3 linked regions of the Arabidopsis thaliana genome follow. The protein of the gene in region 3 purifies or fractionates together with the protein of the main gene of each other region. This does not show direct contact. Each region holds a gene or a part of one and is shown on either strand. Other genes may lie near its edges.

Region 1 (6,833 bases), on a different chromosome or scaffold from region 3:
TCAGTTCCGTGCTTTAGCTGATCAACTGTACAAAACCGCAGATCGCCATAAACATGTTCGACGACAAATAGTAAAACAGGTTTGGTGATCTATTTGCTCTTGAGAATCTTTGCTAGCTTCCATAAGTTGCATGAACTCATTCTTTTTTTTTCAATTTTCATCTTCTGGTTTAGCTAAAATCTCGTCCAGATTCTTATCAAGGATACGTTCCTATGGACTTCTCTGATTATCTAAGAAAGATGTCTCGGTAAAATATCTTCTCTTAGTGAACTCCATAACCGCATTTGCTGCCAATTCTCTTGTTAAAGCCTAGTGTTAAAATTTGGAACAGGAGCGGCGAATGGGGCGATCATGTGACATTACAGGCAGCTGCAGATGCGGTATTCATTCTTAAATCTTGTAAAAAAAAGATGCAGTGATCTTCCTTTTACTTTCCTCAGTTCATAGTTAATCAGTTTGGTGAAACTTTTTAATATTGCAGTATCGGGTGAAAATAGTAGTCCTAACATCGTTCAAAGATACATGTTACATTGAAATTCTTCCTACCTCCCAAGAATCCAAAGGAGGTAAAGAGTTTTCTTTCACTGTAAATTTTGTTTGTCTACTATACCTCTCTCTTGCTGGTTATTACAGTGATCTTTTATTTTGCTCTTGTTGTCTGCAGTAATCTTCTTGAGCTTCTGGGCAGAGGTTCATTACAACGCCATCTACTTAAACAGAGGTAACTTCGAGAAACCTTTTGTTTCACAGACTATGTTTCGCTTCTTTCCTCTTCATCTTAATTCTCTTCTTCTTCTCCATATTTTTTGGTGTTCAGATACATCTGAAACAGAGCTACAGAGGAAGAGAAAATGGTGGCGTTTCGGAAACTAGACAGACCATTGGATCATCATCACTGGGTTACATTAATATTTATTGACTTGAGAGAGATGTTCTTAGACATAGTCCCTTCGTAGAGAGAGAGAGGATGCTGAACAGAGCTCACAGCTTCAAAGCCTTACAATAATATTATTTTCTTCTTTGAAAGAAAGAAAATTTTCTTTTAAAAAAACAGAATTAACAAATTAAATAAAATACACAAAATTTTGATCATTTCCTTATTCAGCTTGTTAACGTTCCAAATTCTAACGGTTCCAACGATTGATTTTTTTCTCGTATATTATAACTTCCTAAGAAATTAACGTTAAGTAACCGATCAAAGGCATTGTGAATGAAATAAACATAGAAATAATTTGCTCAAGTGATTATAAGCTGGCAAACCCAGATGATTTTAAACTGTATCAATCTCGACATCATCCAAAAGAACCTAATTTAAGTTAAAGAAAGAAGAAAAACGATCACTAAGAAATCAAAATCTAACTGTAGAGATCGTCGTCATCAGCTGCAGCTGCAGAAGTGGCAAAGGGATCGGCGGCTGCAACACCAGTGGTGCGTCCGACACCAGCGGTTGAGTCAAACCTGAACTCAGATCCAAACCCTCTGGATTGCTGCAGCGTCTGAGCAAAAGCTTGGTACTTGCGAATATCAGCATCACTCACACTTCTCCTTGCATATTTCATCGACTCTTCGAAATGAGCAGCTCTAATCTCTGAAACTTCATCATCCACCATATCTTCCTCCATGGCCTCTGGATTCTGGCTCCTTCTACGCTCGTTCTCAATATCCTGAGGAACAAAACACACAAAAAAGGGTCAAGATTAGAACAATTAAAACGAATTGGCACTTAAGGTTCCTTAATCACATGTTTCAGGAGGTAATCAAATCACTGACCTTTTCGATGTTTTCTCTGATGGCGTACTTGCAAGCTCTCTGGCAGATCTCGGTGATATCAGCACCACTGAATCCCTGAGTGTACTTTGCGAGTGCAGTAACATCTACATCTTTAGCGACGGGAGATTTTCTCAAGCAGGCCTTAAAGATATTGAGACGGGAATCTTCATCAGGTAGAGGAATGTAGATAAGCTGGTCGAGTCTTCCAGGTCGAAGAAGAGCTGAATCTATGATATCCGGTCTGTTAGTTGCTCCAATAATGAATACCGTCTTCTTTGCATTCATTCCATCCATTTCTGTCAAAAGCTGATTCAACACTCTGTCAGCTGCACCGCCGGCATCACCCGCGCTGTTCCCTCTCTGAGTAGCAATGGAGTCTAGCTCATCGAAAAACAGAACACAAGGAGCAGATTGACGAGCCTTGTCAAAGATTTCTCGGACGTTGGCTTCACTTTCTCCAAACCACATTGTGAGAAGCTCGGGTCCCTTGACACTGATGAAGTTTGCTTGGCACTCGTTTGCTATAGCTTTGGCTAACAGGGTTTTACCACATCCAGGAGGACCGTAGAAAAGAACTCCCTTTGATGGAGACATACCAAACTTCTCGAATTTCTCTGGATGCTCCACAGGGTATTGAACAGTCTCCTGAAGCTCTCTCTTAACATTCTCGAGACCTCCAATATCCTCCCAGGAGACATTTGGAACCTCCACAACAGTTTCACGAAGGGCGGATGGGTTGCTGTTTCCAAGAGCAGTGTGGAAGTGTTCATTAGACACAGCCATGGAATTGAGGATTTCGGCGTCAATTGAGTCATCTTCCAAGTCAATCACATCCATCTTCTCTCTGATACATTGAAGGGCAGCTTCAGTGCATAGAGCTGCAAGATCAGCTCCAACATATCCATGCGTGTCCTTGGAGATTCTTTCTAGATCAACATCTTCAGCTAGCTTCATGTTCTTCGTGTGGATCCTAAGAACTTCAAGACGTCCAATTTCATCAGGAACACCGATATCAATTTCCCTGTCGAATCTTCCAAACCTTCTCAAAGCCGGATCAATACTGTTGGGACGATTTGTTGCTCCCATAACAATAACATGGGCACGTGATTTTAGTCCATCCATAAGCGTAAGGAGCTGAGAGACAATCCTCCTCTCAACCTCACCATTCGTCTTCTCTCTTTTTGGTGCAATAGAGTCAATCTCATCAATGAATATGATAGACGGGGCATTCTTCTCAGCCTCCTCAAATGCTTTCCTGAGGTTGCTCTCACTCTCACCAGCTAGTTTCGACATGATTTCCGGTCCATTGATACAGAAGAAGAATGCTCCGGTTTCATTAGCCACAGCACGAGCAATAAGAGTCTTCCCGGATCCAGGAGGTCCGTAAAGCAGAATTCCCTTTGGTGGCTTCACACCAATTGATTTAAAGAGTTGTGGATGCCTCAAGGGAAGTTCAACCAATTCCCTAATCTGAGCCATCTGTTTCCTGACACCACCAACATCGTCATAACCAACCTCATCAAGCCTTTCTTCGTCCTCCCTCTTAACTGGTTCACCCTCACAGAAAATCTCTGTATCTGGAGCCACCACACAGTACTCAGCAGGATCAGTCTCGATCACTTTGAACTCCACACTCCTCATTCCTCCTCTCACTAGGAAAAGATCTCCCTTCCTCACTGGACGGTACGCCTCCAGAAAGTAAGCTGGTGAAAAAAACAATATAAGTTTAGAAAACACGAACTCCAAAAGACAAGCTAGACTATGATATGAAAGAGAGAATCAAAAGATTAAAGCAAACTTACGTTTCAGGTAAGCATCAAAGAGGTTTCCAGTAACGCCTTCAACTGTATCATCAACAGGCAAGATGTGAACACGCTTTCCATACTTGACATCTGGGCATTGGTGAACAGAAATAACATCTCCCAGCCTAACCCTCAAGTTAGACCTTACAACCTTATTCATTCTGATCTTGGGTTCCTCACATGTTTCATCAGCGAGGGCAATGCATACAGTGTCCTTCCTCTTCTTACCCTGAAAATCCAAAACCCCAATCAAGTAAGTAATCACAGAGATAAAAAGAACAATCCAAACCAATTCTAAACTCAAAAAAAAAAACTTCAGACAAAAAAGTTGTACCCTAACTGAATATGTTTACAAGATCAGACAAAGTAAAAAACATAACTGAATATGTTTACAACATGCTCGTGATATACAGTCAAGACACAGACGATCCAAACCAAGTCTAAACTCAAAACACCCTAACATAGTGACATAAGGAACAAAACCTAACCTTGATGAGAATTGTATCGCCTCGGAAAAGCTGGAGTTTTTCCATGGTAGTAGGATGGAGAGAGACAACAGAGTTGTCATCGTTAATAGCTTCATCGACAACAAGTCGGTTTGGAGACTTCTTCCTCTCTAGAATCGCAGTACTGAAATCCTTCTTAGTTTTCCTGAAACAAATACCCCAGGAAGACAAACAAAATCAGCTTTCAGATGAGATCAAACTAAAAAACCCTATTCTCAATATCGAAAAACCCAAGTAAAAAAATCGAAACTTTATGATCGGAAAACAAAAATCAAAGATCTAAGTACTTACGAGTCGGAGGATTCCGGTTCGTTTGACATAATGATAGCTTAAACTGACAAGAGAGCTCTAAGAAGGAAGTTGGGAAATTTGTTTCTAGAGAGATCGATTGGTGATGATGATGATGATGATGAATGGGATCTCAAGGGAGCTGAACTCGGGATTTTATACGCTCTGTGATTTCCTTCTTGTTGGAAAAATAAGCGACCCTTAACTTTTAAGTTTATCTTGAAAAGTTCCAAAAACTAGGTGTTGTGATAAATACACCCATGTTCCCTTAACATCATATCAATTAATTTATATTATTATATGATTTATCGAGAATCAAAACAAAAATCTACCTATATGAAGAATTAAAAAATTTGATGTAATTTTAAACTTATTTTAATAGTGTGGCGAGGGTACGTAAATGTTTATTAAAAACGTTATGGGGGAAAGTTGAAAATAAAAGTAAAAGAGAGGTGAGGATAACAGTTTTACTTTCTGGTTTTAGCAAACACAAGAAAGGAATAGAAGGTTCTTAGGTAGCGGTACCAAAGCAAGCTACATGTTTTTCTTACTTTTTTATAAATAGAAATTTAATATCTTACCATTTGATTTCTTTGTTCTAAAATAGATTTCCGTTTTTTTTATACGAAGTTATCAACATACGATTCAATTCAATAATTGCAGAAATTTTTGTTTGCATATGAATATATCATCAATATGAAATTCTAAATAAATATTCATAATTATTTATTATACGAAAAAATAATTATTTTCCCAAAAGATAAACCCTTATTGTTGTAAAAAAGTTATCAAACTAACTGAACTTTCATCTAATTAAAAATATTAGTTACTTAAAAAAAAGTTTGGGTTACAAAAGATTAATAGGAATCTAGGATATCATCAATCTAGAACTACGCGCCGTTGTTAGTCTCTTCGATATTAGACGTTGCGCCGTTTTCACTTTGAGATTTGCGATATTATAACTACATGCCGTTTTAAACTCCACTGATCGTCTTCTATTCTAGTTCGATTCTCGACGGAGAATACTCGACGAGAAAATCCAGATCGGGAATCAACTTAGAGAAGAAGAAAATTAAAAAAGAGAACTTCTAAAGATGAATTTGGGGTTCTTAGTTGGAGTTTTCGGCGTTCTTATTCTTTCTCATGCCGCTTATTCAACAATCCAATGTATGTCTACTCTTCCCAATCCAATTCCAGTTCCAATTGAGTCAGATCTACTTTAATTTTCGAGATAGGATCTTGATTTGGGTTTCTCTTGTTTATTTCAGATAGAGGATTGTTGAAGATTATGGAGGAAGAGTTTTCTCGACCACCGATTAATGTGAGTATATAATGATAACGGTTTCTCTTTTCCTCAATTGTGTTTGAATTATATCAGCAATGATTATGCTTTTATATGAATCATGATTGGATTTATTTAAGGTTATTCTGGAGTTGATCATTGGACTAGCTCTGTGTATGTGGGCTGCTTTGACTTTCCCTGGTAAATTTCTCTCGATCCATCCGGATTCTGATGAAAACAGGTTTGTGATCATGTTTCTCTCGAACTCTCTGTTTTGCATCAGTGTTAATCAATCTGAATTCATGTTATCTAGTGAGTGTTTTTACTATTGAATTTTTCTCTGTTCGTACTTTGTTGAACTTGGTGTAGAGTTACTACGGGTCTTATAGAAGCATCTTCTGGCTAGATTTGGTTCAATTATTCAGTTTAATCATGGGTGTTTCTAGTGAATATGTTTTCTTTTGACTGAGAAGGTTTACGGATGTGTTGTTAATCAATTGATTCAAAGAACTTGTGCTCTAGAGATGTTTCGAGGGTCTAGTTTTGATGTCTCTTTAACTCTCTGTTGTGCATCAGTGTTTATCAATCTGAAACATGGAAATTTGGTAGTTATTATATTTCCCGATGATTGAATGACCACCAAAGACTCATGTTTATTGATAAGAAACTGTCGTCTAGAGATGTTCTAGGTCAAACATTGATGTTTCTTTAATACTTTGTGCAGCTAAGGTTTTCTAAAATGCAGGACATTCAAAGGGACATTTTCTAGTTTATATTTGGTCCAGTTACGATTATGGGTTTCAAGAGCTTTAACCAGTTCTGCTCCTGGCTAATTCAATCAGTTTATATTTGTTTCATTGGCTCTTTAGACCCACTTTGGTTCCTTCTATGTCGCAGCCTCTCCCCTACCTTTTTGTACATTAGGTTCTTGAATTGGTTTTGAGTTTGGCTTTTGCTAGATAAAGTGAATATCTCCTGTTAACTGGTTTCTTTCAAAAAATTTGCAGGGCGGTGTTTTTACCAGATAATTCGGATTTCATGATATTCAATCACCGTGGCAGACTGTTCCCACCGCAGATCGACATGAAGTTTTGAATTTTTATCACACTGCTTAGTCAAACACTGATCTGTGTAATGTTATGAGATGTTTCCATTGAAATTCTACTCTAAGTAACTACTCTGCTT
Region 2 (5,696 bases), on a different chromosome or scaffold from region 3:
GGGTCATCAACGAGTCAGTATTGTTACTCGGTGACGAGTCATTGGAACTCGAGAGAAGAAGAAGAAGAAGAGATATCGAAGAGTTTAAGACATTTCGATATGGAGAGTGAGTTAAGGAGAAGTGTGTCTGAATCTAAAGCTCCTTTATGGGATGATGAAGACGACAAGATCAAGTTTTGTCAAAGGTCTGAACTTAAAATCTTGACGATGGTGAAAAAAAAAATCTTGATGAAATTATGAAAATTGAAAAGTTGAATTTTTTTTGAAGGTATCAAAGAGAAGAGGCCAAAATTCAAGCATGGGTTAATCTTGAAAACGCTAAAGCCGAAGCTCAATCTAGAAAGCTTGAGGTATGTGTATGTGTATACGTATATTTTGTTGAGATATACGGTGTAGAAATACGGATTTTGTTATGTTCTAACGGAATTGTGGAGCCACGCGCCAATATTAGAGTAATGTTCGGAGTCCTTTACTTAGTTTCATTGACTAGTCTTTGTTGCTTTATTAGGCAAAAGTCTTTGAGTTTCTAATTTTAAAATTGGGATGACATCTTTGTAGCCTGTACTTGTAATTTGTGCAAGTCCCATGTGAAAAGATTGATTTACTCTCTTGGGAAATTGGAGTCTTAGATTAAATTATCAATCATCTATCATCTAGCTACATAATTTGGATTAAACTTTAAAAATAAATGTAGCTATATTGAAATGATTAATTTTCAAGAATTAATGTCTGCGATTTTGGTGGTTATGTAGTAGCTACATGATAGTCGTACTTGTAATTTGTGCAAGTCCCATGTGAAAAAATTAGTAATTTCCTCTCTTGAGAATTTGGAGACTAAAATTTAATTATTAACTATTAATCATAATTATCTAGCTATATAATCATAATTAATAGTCCATAAATGTAGTTGAGTGATGAAGTTTTAAATAATTAATGTGTGATATTTGGGGTGGTAATTATTGTTGTAGGTGAAAATACAGAAGATGAGATCAAATTTAGAGGAGAAATTAATGAAGAGAATGGATATGGTGCACCGGAGAGCAGAAGATTGGAGAGCTACGGCGAGGCAGCAACATGTTGAGCAGATGCAGAAAGCGGCCGAGACGGCGAGGAAATTGACAAACCGCCGAGGCTATTTGGTTACCGGCCGTAGCTCATGTGGTTGTCTACCTTGCAATAATACTTGTCATTAACTCAGTCAAAGTAAAAGAGAGTAAAATACACATAAACAAACACAAGAAATTACTGTTTATGTGTTTCAATTATCAACATGTATGTTCGTTTATTGTTTATGCAAGAAAGTAAAAAGCCGATATGGAATAACGAATCGCAAAACTTCTTTTCAAAAAAACGGATTTTTTTCTGTAAATTAATTTGCAGAATTAAACGAAAAAAAGTTGAACATAGAATTGTAATTTTGTGCGTTGAACTTGAGTGGTATAAAATAAGTGTACTAGAACTTTTTTTTTCTTTCATCTGAAACTTGTTTTGGAACCATGGTGAAATACAAATTTCAAACAAGGGAAGCTAAGCCGATGGACGAAAGAAAAGTCATCGGAAACTAAAGTCGACGTACGAGAGAAAAGTCCTTGAAAACTAAAGCTGGAGGAAAACGTAAATTTTTTGGAGTCTAAAACCCTATAAAGGGGAAACATGAACACATTACAAAACAGAAATTTTAAAGCCTAAATCGAAAGAGATCGAAACCAAAACCTAAACATAAGTGTACTAGAACAAATCACTAGAATATATAAGTTTTTTTTTTTTTTTTGGAGTTCTAAAATTGGTAGGAAAAAACACAAACACTAGTGAAGACTATTTCCATTAATATATATAAGGAGTTTTGTTCTTGTTGTCTTTTAGTAACGAAATTCGAATAGTTGTTATCATGCAAAAGTGTTTAGAGAAATAAGAGAGACTGACCAAAGACAAACTTTTGCGTCTGGAAGGAGAAGAAGTCTCGCAACAAGTCACAGCTTTTCATCGTTCCCATACTTTTACGAGACAACACTCTTTCAATTATTTTGTACTTTTCTGTTTGGTTTTATTCACTAAAACTAATTATTTCTAAAAAAAACATTTATTTGTGTACAGCAAAAAAATAATAACCTGGACTGCCAATTTTTGTCTTTTTCTTTTATTGTTACACTTAACTTCTGACATTGAGATAAATTGGAACATGTTCAAATTCCAGTCAGTTCTATAGCTGTCTCATAATTTTTCAAAAATACAAAGAAAGGCCTAATTGGGTGACCCAGGCTTAATATAGTTAGGCCCATGAAAGCCCATTATAAAAAACGCTGCGTTTAGAAACAATCTAACTTGTTCTTCAAGAAGAAGTGCGTCTTTGAAAGCTAAAAAGAGAGCAAAAGCTTCTGTTTATTCTCCGATTCGCAGATCAATTAGCTGGTTTGATTCTATACTCTCAACAAGTTCATTGTGATGATTTTTATTTTCTCTGAATCTCTGGATTAACTCAGATCCGTTGTTTTTCTAGGGTTTTGATTCCGTTGTGCGAAGGACTTTAAGAGGTTTTGCAGATCGAAATCGGAAGAGAAGAAGAAGATGTTTCTCACTAGGTATCTCTATCTACTTCTGGGTTCATTGAAATTTTCTTCCTTTACTTCAATCGTTTGTTTTGCTTATGGTGGTTTCTGATTTTGTTGTGCGAAGAACTGAGTATGACAGAGGAGTGAACACTTTTTCTCCAGAAGGAAGGCTATTTCAAGTGGAATATGCCATTGAAGCTATCAAGGTAACTTTTCGATTCCTCAATTTGTTAGTTTCCTATGGAAATCGAGAAATTTTGAAGAAAGGGTAATGGTTGATTTACGGTTTTCTTTGATTGCTTTAGCTTATTTGCACAAGTTCTAGCTCACATTTCCTTGTTTAATCGATGTAGTTTGCATTTCAAATTTGTAAAAGGGATTGTTGAATTTTGTTGAGACTCTGATGAGTGTTGAATTTTGTTGCAGCTTGGTTCTACTGCAATTGGAGTAAAGACAAAAGAAGGAGTTGTGCTTGCTGTCGAGAAGCGTATCACGTCGCCATTGCTGGTTTGCTTGCTAACTTTGAATTCTATGTTTTTCAGAATTTTTCTTGTGATTCACTATTTTGGAACAATTTGAATTGAATCTGATGATATGATCAAGCAGAAGCATATAAGCTTTCTATGTTAGTTATGGTGATATTAGCTTTCTCAGTATATGTTAAATGCTTTTTCTTTTTCCCCAGGAACCGAGCAGTGTGGAGAAGATTATGGAAATTGATGACCATATTGGTTGTGCTATGAGCGGTTTAATTGCTGACGCGCGCACACTTGTTGAGCATGCTAGAGTTGAAACTCAAGTAAGGTTTCTGTCTCTAGGGTCTTTTCTTTTAGCTTCAACAGGTCTTTTATGTGTTATTGACGGCTTCTTTTGCTCTTGTACAGAACCATAGATTCTCGTATGGTGAGCCGATGACTGTAGAGTCCACAACACAAGCACTGTGTGATCTGGCTTTACGGTTTGGTGAAGGAGAGGAAGAATCAATGGTAATAATCAAAATTGGAATTACTGATTAGAACAAAACCTTGATAAGTTGGATATCCATATTTAGTCGTTGTATTGTGTGTACTGATTCTCTTTGTCATTAATGTGACTACAGTCTCGGCCGTTTGGAGTATCTCTTCTCATTGCTGGCCATGATGAAAATGGACCAAGCTTGTAAGTTCTCCTTCAGTTGGATTTCTTCTACTGAAATGGTTCACTTGTGTAAGTTAGTTTATCTTCTTGTAAATGACTCTGTCTTGTTACAGGTACTACACTGATCCTTCAGGAACATTCTGGCAGTGCAATGCAAAGGCAATTGGTTCAGGTTCTGAAGGAGCTGATAGCTCTCTTCAAGAGCAATTCAACAAAGTAACTTGAACTTTTTCCCAATTGTTTTTCAATAAATTATTTGATTACATCACTTTATTTGCCATTAAAACCTTTAGTTTCATTAACTTGTTGCAGGATTTGTCTCTACAAGAAGCTGAGACTATCGCTGTATCTATCCTAAAGCAAGTTATGGAAGAAAAGGTACAAATTTTACAATCCAAAACTGTAAACAGAAGTTCTTGCTCAATCTAATTGTATTGGTTGGTGATAGGTGACTCCAAATAACGTGGATATTGCCAAGGTAGCACCAGCTTATCATCTCTACACTCCACAAGAAGTCGAAGCAGTCATCGCTCGTCTTTGATTGAAAAAACTCAATTTGGGTAATTTACCTATCAGCTTGTGTCACAAAACTTGTTACTTTTGTCTGTTAGATTGAGGATCATGTCACATTTTAGTCGGTTGTGTAAGAGAATCTTTTGGCTCCCATGTCATTCAATAACCTTTCGGATTTGTGACTTATAAAATTTCCTTTCCTACCACTTACGTTTTGTTACTTGCTCTTCGACTTGGCTTTGTCCTGACTATATGGATAGATTTATTCTGGCTTGCTCCACAAGTTAATCTTGTTTATTCTGGTTTTGTTTAGTGTGGATAGATTAGTATTGAGTTAGATTTTTGTTTAGGAGCCGGCTCCTAATTAATCGCCATCAGATAATTAGATTTTTATCGGATTTATGATCATCCCGTTTGTTAGTAACATCGTCGACAATGTCCCGATGACAAGGATATGAAGGTGAGTAATGGTTAGTAACAGTATCATCGTTGTGTTATAATTCGAGTTCAAGGTGTGAGCTACAAAAAGCGAGTAGCTTTGATAGTTCTACATCAAGAAGATATCGTATTAGGGGATACACAAAATACAACTATGTTGGAAAAAATTACAGATCATGCATAAGTGTCAAACAAATATAAAGTAGATCACAACCGGATGTTTTCAAAAACAAGCTACGAATCCAATTGTATTGTCACTATATTAAGATAGCTGATTGATCACTCCTGTTGCCGGTATCCAATCAGCTCCGTGTAAAAGCGTAGCCACTGTAAACTTCGCAGCCTCGGCGTCCGACATAACCGGTTTATATCCAGCCCATTTAACTCTCTGCGTTACATCTGAACCCGGGCCCGTATTCTTATACTCTCCGTAGACAATACTTGCTGGTGGATCAACTCCAGAAACCCATGACATCCACCCGGACGGTCGAACCACTGCTCCAATCACCGTCTCCATAATAACCGTCGTGGAAAACTCCTTCCACGGCCGGCCAAGATACGTGGGAGCAATCACATTGCCGTTTGCGGAGATAGTGCATCGTTGAATCGACATCCCCGAGCTTTGGTTCGGATCTTTTTTGCCCTGAGCGGTTATGGTGTTGAATTGGTTAGAAAGAGGCTGGCGAGGCATGATTTTGCAGCCTTGGAAAACGACCGCAGCACTTCCGAAAATGAAGTCGATTGTCCCAGTAACGTCGCAGTCACGGTAGAATTGGCGGTTGGAGTGAGGGTAAAGAGTGTCTTGAAAACCATCGAATGAGCATTGGTAATAGACTGAGAAATCAGAGCCTGATCGGAATGCCACAGCTTGGTGTTTTGCTGCTCCCGCGGTGTTTATGATTCCAATATCCTTCATTATAAATCCTTTGCCTTGTATAGCTGCATCAAAAGAGAAACTTAACAACCATAGCTAAATTGGTAAACTATGTAACAATGTCAAGTCTTTTTTGTTCTTACCTAAACCAAATCAAATTTGACCTCTTCACTAATCTTAACAAC
Region 3 (7,796 bases):
TCAATGAGACGGTCCAATCAGCTAAATATGACAAGAGGTTTGGGCTGTGGCGGGTCCAGACTGTTTTGAGAAGCGAGCTGCTCGGTTATTGTGAGTTCGAGTATATATGCAGGTGGCTCGTGGTGGCGACGGGAGAGAATGCTGAGAAAGTGGTGCCGGAGTTTGAGGGTTTAGAAGATTTTGGTGGTGATGTTCTTCACGCTGGAGATTATAAATCCGGCGAGAGGTACCGCGGAAAACGAGTTCTCGTAGTTGGATGTGGAAACTCAGGCATGGAAGTCTCTCTTGATCTATGCAATCATGATGCGAGCCCATCAATGGTCGTTCGAAGCTCCGTAAGTAAAATTCAGTAAATTATACCCACCAAGTTACGAAAAACAGAGCACCCTGATTCTTAGTAGCTCCTCTGTTTAAAACAGAGCATCTGATAGTTATACTCTGTTTTTCCTTGTTCGATCAGGTTCATGTATTACCGAGAGAAGTTCTTGGGAAGTCGACGTTCGAGTTAAGTGTAACAATGATGAAATGGATGCCGGTTTGGCTCGTGGACAAGACTCTTCTCGTTCTCACAAGGTTACTTCTAGGGAACACCGATAAGTATGGGCTCAAGAGGCCTGAAATTGGACCGTTAGAGCTGAAGAACACCGCAGGTAAAACTCCCGTGCTAGACATCGGAGCCATTTCAATGATCAAATCAGGAAAGATCAAAATCGTAGCGGGAATAGCTAAGTTTGGTCCGGGAAAGGTCGAACTCGTGGATGGTCGAGTTCTGCAGATTGATTCAGTGATTCTTGCCACTGGTTACAGAAGCAATGTCCCTTCATGGCTTAAGGTAGACAAAAGTATTATCTTTTTCAGATTTTTGTCTCAAAAGATAACATTTTATAGGACCATAGAATACCGGTATTGATAGTTATGGGAAGTTTGATAAAAACTAAGACGTTGATTGGTGATTGATTTATTGTTATGCAGGAAAACGACTTGGGTGAGATTGGGATAGAGAAAAACCCATTTCCAAAAGGGTGGAAAGGGAAGGCTGGATTGTATGCGGTGGGATTCACCGGAAGAGGACTCTCAGGTGCATCGTTCGATGCAATGAGTGTAGCTCATGACATTGCCAATAGCTGGAAAGAAGAAACTAAGCAACAGATCAAAACTGTCGCTACTCGCCACCGTCGTTGTATTTCACACTTTTGATTTTCACTGTTTATACGAAAACATATATGAGAAGAGGTAAAAAAGAGAGGATCGATAGTGTTATGTGATGTGAAAATCAAAGAGATAAGCCCACTCCATGAGAGTATAACTGTGAAATGTGTTTGAGCTTATTTTCTTGTAAGGAGGATGTGGCTCCATGTATTTAACGTATTCTTTAACATTCCAACTTATCTTTTGTTAGCAAATGTGTTTGATTAGAGCTGATCTAGAAAGTTTAAAACATGATTAGTTTAAACAAAATATATGAACATGTGTCTGAAACTGATTTCGTCATTGACAGAAATAAGTGAATGAGGGAAAAATACCGAAAACATTCCTCCGTACCGTACCAGCAATACATGAACTGTGTATGTATCATTTCTCTTATTATACGATGGAAATATAGAGACAACAAACATCAAGGTTCTAAAATGCTTAAACAAACATTCATTCATCATCATCAAAAGGAGCCATTGAAATTTTACCAGACATCAGGACGAAGCTCTCCGGTAGCTGGAGGCATCCAACGACCAGAATTGTACACGTTTTCACCGACTTTCCATCCAGGAACATCCTTCATCACATCCGCCTCGTATTCTAGATACTTCTTCCACTCAGACACAAACCTATTTACAAATCAACACGTGGTGATCCAATGTGAGAGTTTGTACCACACAAGCAAACATAACTTCTTTTGTGAATCCTACCTTTCATCTTCTTCAGCTTGAAGAATCGGTAGAATTGCTCTACGTGCAGCGTACTTCTCTTCCTTCAACGCCCTATCATCACAGCAATCTTCATTAAAACTTTGGAGTTGATACATTGTGCTCATTTTGACACTTTTGTCATCATTATGCAATTGAGAGTCTAACAATAGAAGACTATTAGAGAATGTCACTTACACACACCAAGAAAGATAACACTGTGTTGTCTTATTCGTTGCAAATTACTCCAAATCGACACTAATCAAGCTAAATAACTCACAATGTGACCATCTAAAAACCAATATGCAACTAACCACTAGTATATCATCTTGCAATTTGATTGCTTTCTTCATCACAGCTCAAGAGATCGTTAATTAGTAACCAATTTCGAGACTAACCACACAAATTTATAAGCATCAATCCCAAATTGTCTTAAGATTCAATCCCAAATTACTCAAAATTTCACAATAGAGAAAAGCCTAACCAAACTCAAATTCCACATCTCATTATCTAATTACCTGCGGATTTTGTTGCCCTGACCAACTTGGTACATGCCCCAAGCAAAAGCACCGGAAACGGTAAGGAAAATAGCCATGGCGCTAGGTCCCGTGTTGGAGATCCGGCGAGCATATCGGACCGGCGCGAATCCACCAGGTGGTGGACCATCCTGAAGCAACGGCATATCCTTCACACTCGCCATTCCTGGCTTCTTCCTTATCATCGCCTCCGTCATCTTCTTCCTCGATTGATCCCCAAATCGATCTTTGATTCGTTAATCAGTGTGTGTTCTAGGGATTCTGAGAAAGACAATCAGAAATGAAATGAAATGAAAAATCTTTTTTTTGGTGACTTTTTTTTTAAAATGTTGTAATAATGAACTGGGCTTTAAAAGGCCCATATTAAAATAGTACCGGGTCAAAACTCGAACCGGATCCAAAACCGGAGGCTAAAACTCGACCAAGCAATGATGAGCTTGGAGAAAACGTAAAACCCTAAACCCTACTGCTTATAGAATCTTCGACGATCTGCTTCATTTCTCCTCATCTACGAGTGAGAGAATTTGTCAATTTAGCTTCTTTAGTTCGGTCTGATCTGAATTAATTGCAATCTTCTCGGTTGTGTGAGAGAATCAATCACCATGTATCGGCTTGTCTCCAACGTTGCTTCCAAAGCTAGGTAGATCTATTCGACTTTTTGGTTTTCTTTGTGTATATGATTCCAATGCTGCTTTATTTTCTGTGAATTTGTTTCTGATTGGATCCTCGAAATCGGAAAGTTGCGAGAAACTGTTGGGAATTGAATCGGATTTTGATCGGATTGAATTGAATATTTCTCTGCCATTGGAGAGTTTAGCATCTTCTATTTTCTTTGTATTTCTGGAAGTTGCTTCATTTATTGATGGGATTTATTTTTCTTTGTTTCAACAGGATTGCCAGAAAGTGTACAAGCCAGGTTCGTGTTCTTCATTTTGTATCTAATTTGTGGTTTAGCCGTTTGTGGGTATGTATTGATGTGAATTTGTGTATTGTTAGATTGGAAGCAGGCTCAATTCTACTAGGAATTATGCAGCAAAAGACATAAGGTTCGGTGTTGAAGCTCGGGCTTTAATGCTTAGGGGTGTTGAGGATCTTGCTGATGCAGTTAAAGTCACTATGGGACCCAAGGTATAAACTTATGTTTCAGATAATTTCTGTGTAAGAGACTTGTATTGTAAGTGAATCTAGTTAAAAATAGATAACGTGACGACCTATTGACAAGTATCAACAATCGTCTGTTTTGTTACCCTCACACTCTCTGATACTACATGTCTAAAACCATTTTTGAAGGGTCGTAATGTCATCATCGAACAAAGCTGGGGTGCACCAAAGGTGACAAAGGATGGTGTGACTGTTGCCAAGAGCATTGAGTTCAAGGATAGAATTAAGAACGTTGGTGCCAGTCTTGTGAAACAGGTTGCTAACGCCACAAATGACGTAGCTGGTGATGGTAAGTGTTCCCTTTCAATGGATTAAAACGTTTTTTCTGTTTTTGCTAATTGGGTTGTTAGTCTCCTATCTACTCATATTAATCGGTGTTTTTGTATCTGACAAAATATATGGTATGCGTTACAGGAACAACGTGTGCCACAGTCCTTACTAGAGCTATCTTCACGGAAGGTTGTAAATCAGTTGCCGCTGGAATGAATGCAATGGACCTAAGACGTGGTATCAAATTGGCAGTTGATACTGTTGTGACGAACTTGCAGAGCCGAGCACGCATGATTAGCACCTCTGAAGAAATCGCCCAAGTTGGAACAATATCAGCTAATGGAGATAGGGAAATTGGTGAACTGATTGCAAAGGCTATGGAAACTGTCGGCAAAGAGGGAGTGATCACAATTCAAGTGAGTTGAATTTTATCCCTAAATGTCAAATTATTTTGCTTATTCCTTAAGGTGACCAATGTTATCATCTCTTGATTCAGGATGGCAAGACCTTGTTTAATGAGCTGGAAGTTGTTGAGGGTATGAAGATTGACAGGGGATACATCTCCCCGTACTTCATAACTAACCCGAAAACACAAAAATGTGTAAGGATTCCCACCTTGTTACTTTATCAATTTAAGGAATTGCGGATTTAATTTGCTCTGAATGAATATGTGTTGCAGGAACTAGAAGATCCTCTCATTCTTATCCACGAGAAGAAAATTTCCAATATAAACGCAATGGTGAAAGTATTAGAACTGGCCCTCAAGGTATAAACAATTTGGCGATTTCTTCACTGTCAATAGTGTCTGATATTCATTAAGTTACTTTGATCTGAAGATCGAAATTTATTTTCACTGCCATTTTTCAGAAGCAAAGGCCGCTGCTGATCGTTGCTGAGGATGTGGAGAGCGATGCTCTTGCCACCCTAATTCTGAACAAACTTCGTGCTAATATCAAGGTTTTTCTTTTCAGCCTTTTGTTATTTGCCTTTTCCTTACAACGTCTTAGTAAAAAATTAATTTGATTGGATTGATGTACATGGTATTGCTTTATAGGTCTGTGCTGTGAAGGCCCCTGGTTTTGGAGAGAACCGAAAGGCCAATTTACATGATCTAGCTGCCCTCACTGGAGCCCAGGCATGCCCATGTTTCTTTTTATAATAACTGCCAAGACCATCACACCCACACTAATCGGATGAGCCATAATGTGTCTTTGGTGATTTCACTTTGTAGGTAATAACAGAAGAGTTGGGTATGAATCTAGACAACATTGACCTCAGTATGTTTGGAAACTGCAAGAAGGTTCGTTTGGTCCAATTCCTTCTGCTTTCTCTCTTTCTCCCTTGTACCTTCTGATAACTTGGTTTTCATTTGTTAACAGGTAACGGTATCCAAAGATGATACTGTTGTTCTCGATGGGGCTGGTGACAAGCAAGCAATTGGGGAACGATGTGAACAGGTTAGCGTGTTTTTCGCTTTTTTATCATTTAGTGGTTCAGTGTCATATACCTTTGCCCTTTTTTCCAACTGGTAGTTTTAATATGTTTTGAATTTTTATTAAACCACGCAGATACGATCCATGGTTGAAGCAAGCACTTCTGATTATGACAAGGAGAAGTTGCAAGAAAGGTTGGCTAAGCTTTCGGGTGGTGTTGCTGTACTAAAGGTAATGTACACCTCTTGTGAACATCAGACTAATAGGCTATTAATGCATTATTAGTTTATTACTAATGTCGAGATTACTCATATGGGTTTTTAGATTGGAGGAGCAAGTGAGACAGAAGTTAGTGAAAAGAAAGATAGAGTAACGGATGCTCTAAATGCCACTAAAGCAGCCGTAGAGGAGGGTATTGTTCCAGGTATAATCTATCCCAAATCTAAAACAAAATTTGGTTGAATCCCTTAAGAAAATTGCGTGAGAAGAGAATTATATTACTTTGTGTGTATTACAGGTGGTGGTGTTGCTCTTTTGTATGCTTCGAAAGAACTTGAGAAGCTTTCCACAGCTAACTTTGATCAGAAAATTGGTGTTCAAATCATTCAAAACGCACTCAAGGTGTTTCTCTCATCACATTGTTCATCCTCGCTAGCATAAACAGCTTCTAGAATCTTACACACAAAATCTTTCTTTGATGCAGACACCTGTTTACACGATTGCTTCCAATGCTGGAGTCGAGGGTGCAGTTGTCGTAGGCAAGCTTTTGGAACAAGATAATCCTGACCTTGGTTATGATGCTGCTAAAGGTTACACTCTTATATGCATTAGATAATTCACTTTCTATAGTTCTTGATCCACCTTGTTATATATTTCCCTATATTCCGAAATCTGAACTAGCTTCTTTTGGCATTTACTTTCAGGAGAATATGTGGACATGATAAAGGCTGGTATTATCGATCCTTTGAAAGTGATCAGAACCGCATTAGTTGATGCTGCAAGGTACACAAAGATTGAAAATTGGTTGTCCAATTTTGTATTTTATTGCAATGTTTTGCTAATTTATTCTATTGGTTAGTGTTTCGTCTTTGTTGACAACGACGGAAGCAGTTGTGACTGAGATTCCAACGAAAGAGGTAGCATCTCCGGGTATGGGCGGTGGTGGCATGGGCGGCATGGGTGGCATGGGCGGTATGGGAGGAATGGGTTTCTGAGGAGAACTATAAACCCTGAGTAGGGTTCTTTGGAATCTGTTGTGAGAGATGCTACGGTTGGTTCATCCACAAGACACTAATGTATTCTTTAATCATGATTGGTAGAGAGAGACCTTCAGATTTTCCGTGATTTTCAATTCACAAACGATTTATAAACTATTTTGAAGAAGATCCTTTTCCGATTCATGCAAATTTCTTCCAAAAATAATTCAGATTAGAGAGTTCAGTGAAACATCAAGTAGGTTGTGTTTGCGCATATGGAGGAGATTCCTTAGTTCTCGCCAACTATCACCAAACCCTTATATCTTATTAACACGATATTTAGCTGTTTATTTATATGTGGTTCAAGTAACAGACTACTTATTTCAAATAAAAAATGGAAAAAGCTTTTTTCATAGAACGAAACAAACGATATAGTGTAGTTTAAAGTATGTTACCCGAAAAAGAAAGCAAATCTACTTAACACGGTCCACAATTCGCGTGGTGAAGAAGGTTATAATTGGGTCCCAAAACATTCATTTCCCCCCAAAAAAAGTCATAATTATGAACCAAACTCTTTTTGTCTTCACGTCTTTGTCCGTTCCATAACCATAGCTTGCCCTACTTATTATAGCAGTAAGCCATAATCAAGGAAACCGTATTTGTATGTAACTTAATATTGTGGATTGATTACAGCTTGGAGGGAATTGATTCAATTTGGCCAGTTGGTCAAACGCAATGGTATAAGTCCACCGAACTAGATGGCAAAAACAAAAACAATTTGAGAATGTTCTTAAAAGTTCCAGTTCAAATGTGTTGTAAATAGTCAAATTCCTTTTACGAACGATATAAAAGTAGTCAAATAGAGATAGGGAATAAAGAAAAATACTTATCTAGATGATGAATTAGCTTAACGAGAAAACTATTAGTATCTGTTTTGGCAAGAAAATTTTATGTCTCGGTTGATTACACACACTTTTTAGTTAAACTACAAGTAATCAATCATAGATTTTACTTTAAGAAAGTTCCACAAACACGACGTGGCTGTCCATTATAACATAACCTCGTGGTCATGGAATGTTTCGTCTTATTTTATTTTTAATATTACACAATGTTCAAAGTTCTCAATTAGCAAGTTTCATGTGGTGTGATGAAAATCATTAACCATAAAAACCAACACTCAAGCGGAAATCCAACTCTCTTAAATTAAAATAATTCACTCAAAATTTTATTTTCATTTGGAGATAAAAATATAAATTGGTCAAAAGCAAAATAAAGATAGAGGTCATCAAATCGTACGGC

Evidence for each region. The genes of interacting proteins can lie anywhere in the genome.
Region 1: the proteins of HSP60-2 (region 3) and AtCDC48C fractionate together in Arabidopsis thaliana (co-fractionation; one large-scale study listed by BioGRID). This does not show direct contact.
Region 2: the proteins of HSP60-2 (region 3) and PAE1 fractionate together in Arabidopsis thaliana (co-fractionation; one large-scale study listed by BioGRID). This does not show direct contact.

What each region holds. Positions count from the first base shown.
Region 1 is NC_003076.8:808,736-815,568, forward strand, and holds AtCDC48C (ATPase, AAA-type, CDC48 protein), read right to left. Parts: upstream 4,559-6,833; 5' UTR 4,399-4,558; coding exon 4,370-4,398; intron 4,224-4,369; coding exon 4,061-4,223; intron 3,802-4,060; coding exon 3,573-3,801; intron 3,474-3,572; coding exon 1,771-3,473; intron 1,667-1,770; exon of another isoform or gene 1,665-1,666; coding exon 1,356-1,664; 3' UTR 1,095-1,355; downstream 1-1,094. Other genes in the region: AT5G03330 (Cysteine proteinases superfamily protein), read left to right, coding at 5-79, 174-247, 332-380, 482-566, 665-721, 818-873; AT5G03345 (membrane magnesium transporter-like protein), read left to right, coding at 5,461-5,537, 5,639-5,687, 5,789-5,980. UniProt on the Arabidopsis thaliana protein: Probably functions in cell division and growth processes. Interacts with certain SNAREs as part of specialized membrane fusion events where vesicles from the same organelle fuse (homotypic fusion).
Region 2 is NC_003070.9:20,102,662-20,108,357, reverse strand, and holds PAE1 (20S proteasome alpha subunit E1), read left to right. Parts: upstream 1-2,280; 5' UTR 2,281-2,409; exon of another isoform or gene 2,410-2,497; 5' UTR 2,498-2,565; coding exon 2,566-2,579; intron 2,580-2,673; coding exon 2,674-2,755; intron 2,756-2,975; coding exon 2,976-3,056; intron 3,057-3,234; coding exon 3,235-3,348; intron 3,349-3,433; coding exon 3,434-3,535; intron 3,536-3,648; coding exon 3,649-3,707; intron 3,708-3,799; coding exon 3,800-3,902; intron 3,903-3,998; coding exon 3,999-4,064; intron 4,065-4,134; coding exon 4,135-4,227; 3' UTR 4,228-4,602; downstream 4,603-5,696. Other genes in the region: AT1G53860 (Remorin family protein), read left to right, coding at 1-185, 269-350, 969-1,193; PME1 (pectin methylesterase 1), read right to left, coding at 4,900-5,576. UniProt on the Arabidopsis thaliana protein: The proteasome is a multicatalytic proteinase complex which is characterized by its ability to cleave peptides with Arg, Phe, Tyr, Leu, and Glu adjacent to the leaving group at neutral or slightly basic pH.
Region 3 is NC_003071.7:14,073,812-14,081,607, reverse strand, and holds HSP60-2 (heat shock protein 60-2), read left to right. Parts: upstream 1-2,835; 5' UTR 2,836-3,039; coding exon 3,040-3,077; intron 3,078-3,328; coding exon 3,329-3,353; intron 3,354-3,433; coding exon 3,434-3,565; intron 3,566-3,727; coding exon 3,728-3,887; intron 3,888-4,012; coding exon 4,013-4,284; intron 4,285-4,364; coding exon 4,365-4,469; intron 4,470-4,547; coding exon 4,548-4,634; intron 4,635-4,735; coding exon 4,736-4,825; intron 4,826-4,922; coding exon 4,923-5,003; intron 5,004-5,099; coding exon 5,100-5,168; intron 5,169-5,247; coding exon 5,248-5,325; intron 5,326-5,436; coding exon 5,437-5,532; intron 5,533-5,625; coding exon 5,626-5,725; intron 5,726-5,818; coding exon 5,819-5,922; intron 5,923-6,004; coding exon 6,005-6,110; intron 6,111-6,224; coding exon 6,225-6,303; intron 6,304-6,379; coding exon 6,380-6,515; 3' UTR 6,516-6,841; downstream 6,842-7,796. Other genes in the region: YUC7 (YUCCA 7), read left to right, coding at 1-335, 461-832, 973-1,197; AT2G33220 (GRIM-19 protein), read right to left, coding at 1,107-1,203, 1,683-1,823, 1,905-1,976, 2,420-2,634. UniProt on the Arabidopsis thaliana protein: Implicated in mitochondrial protein import and macromolecular assembly. May facilitate the correct folding of imported proteins.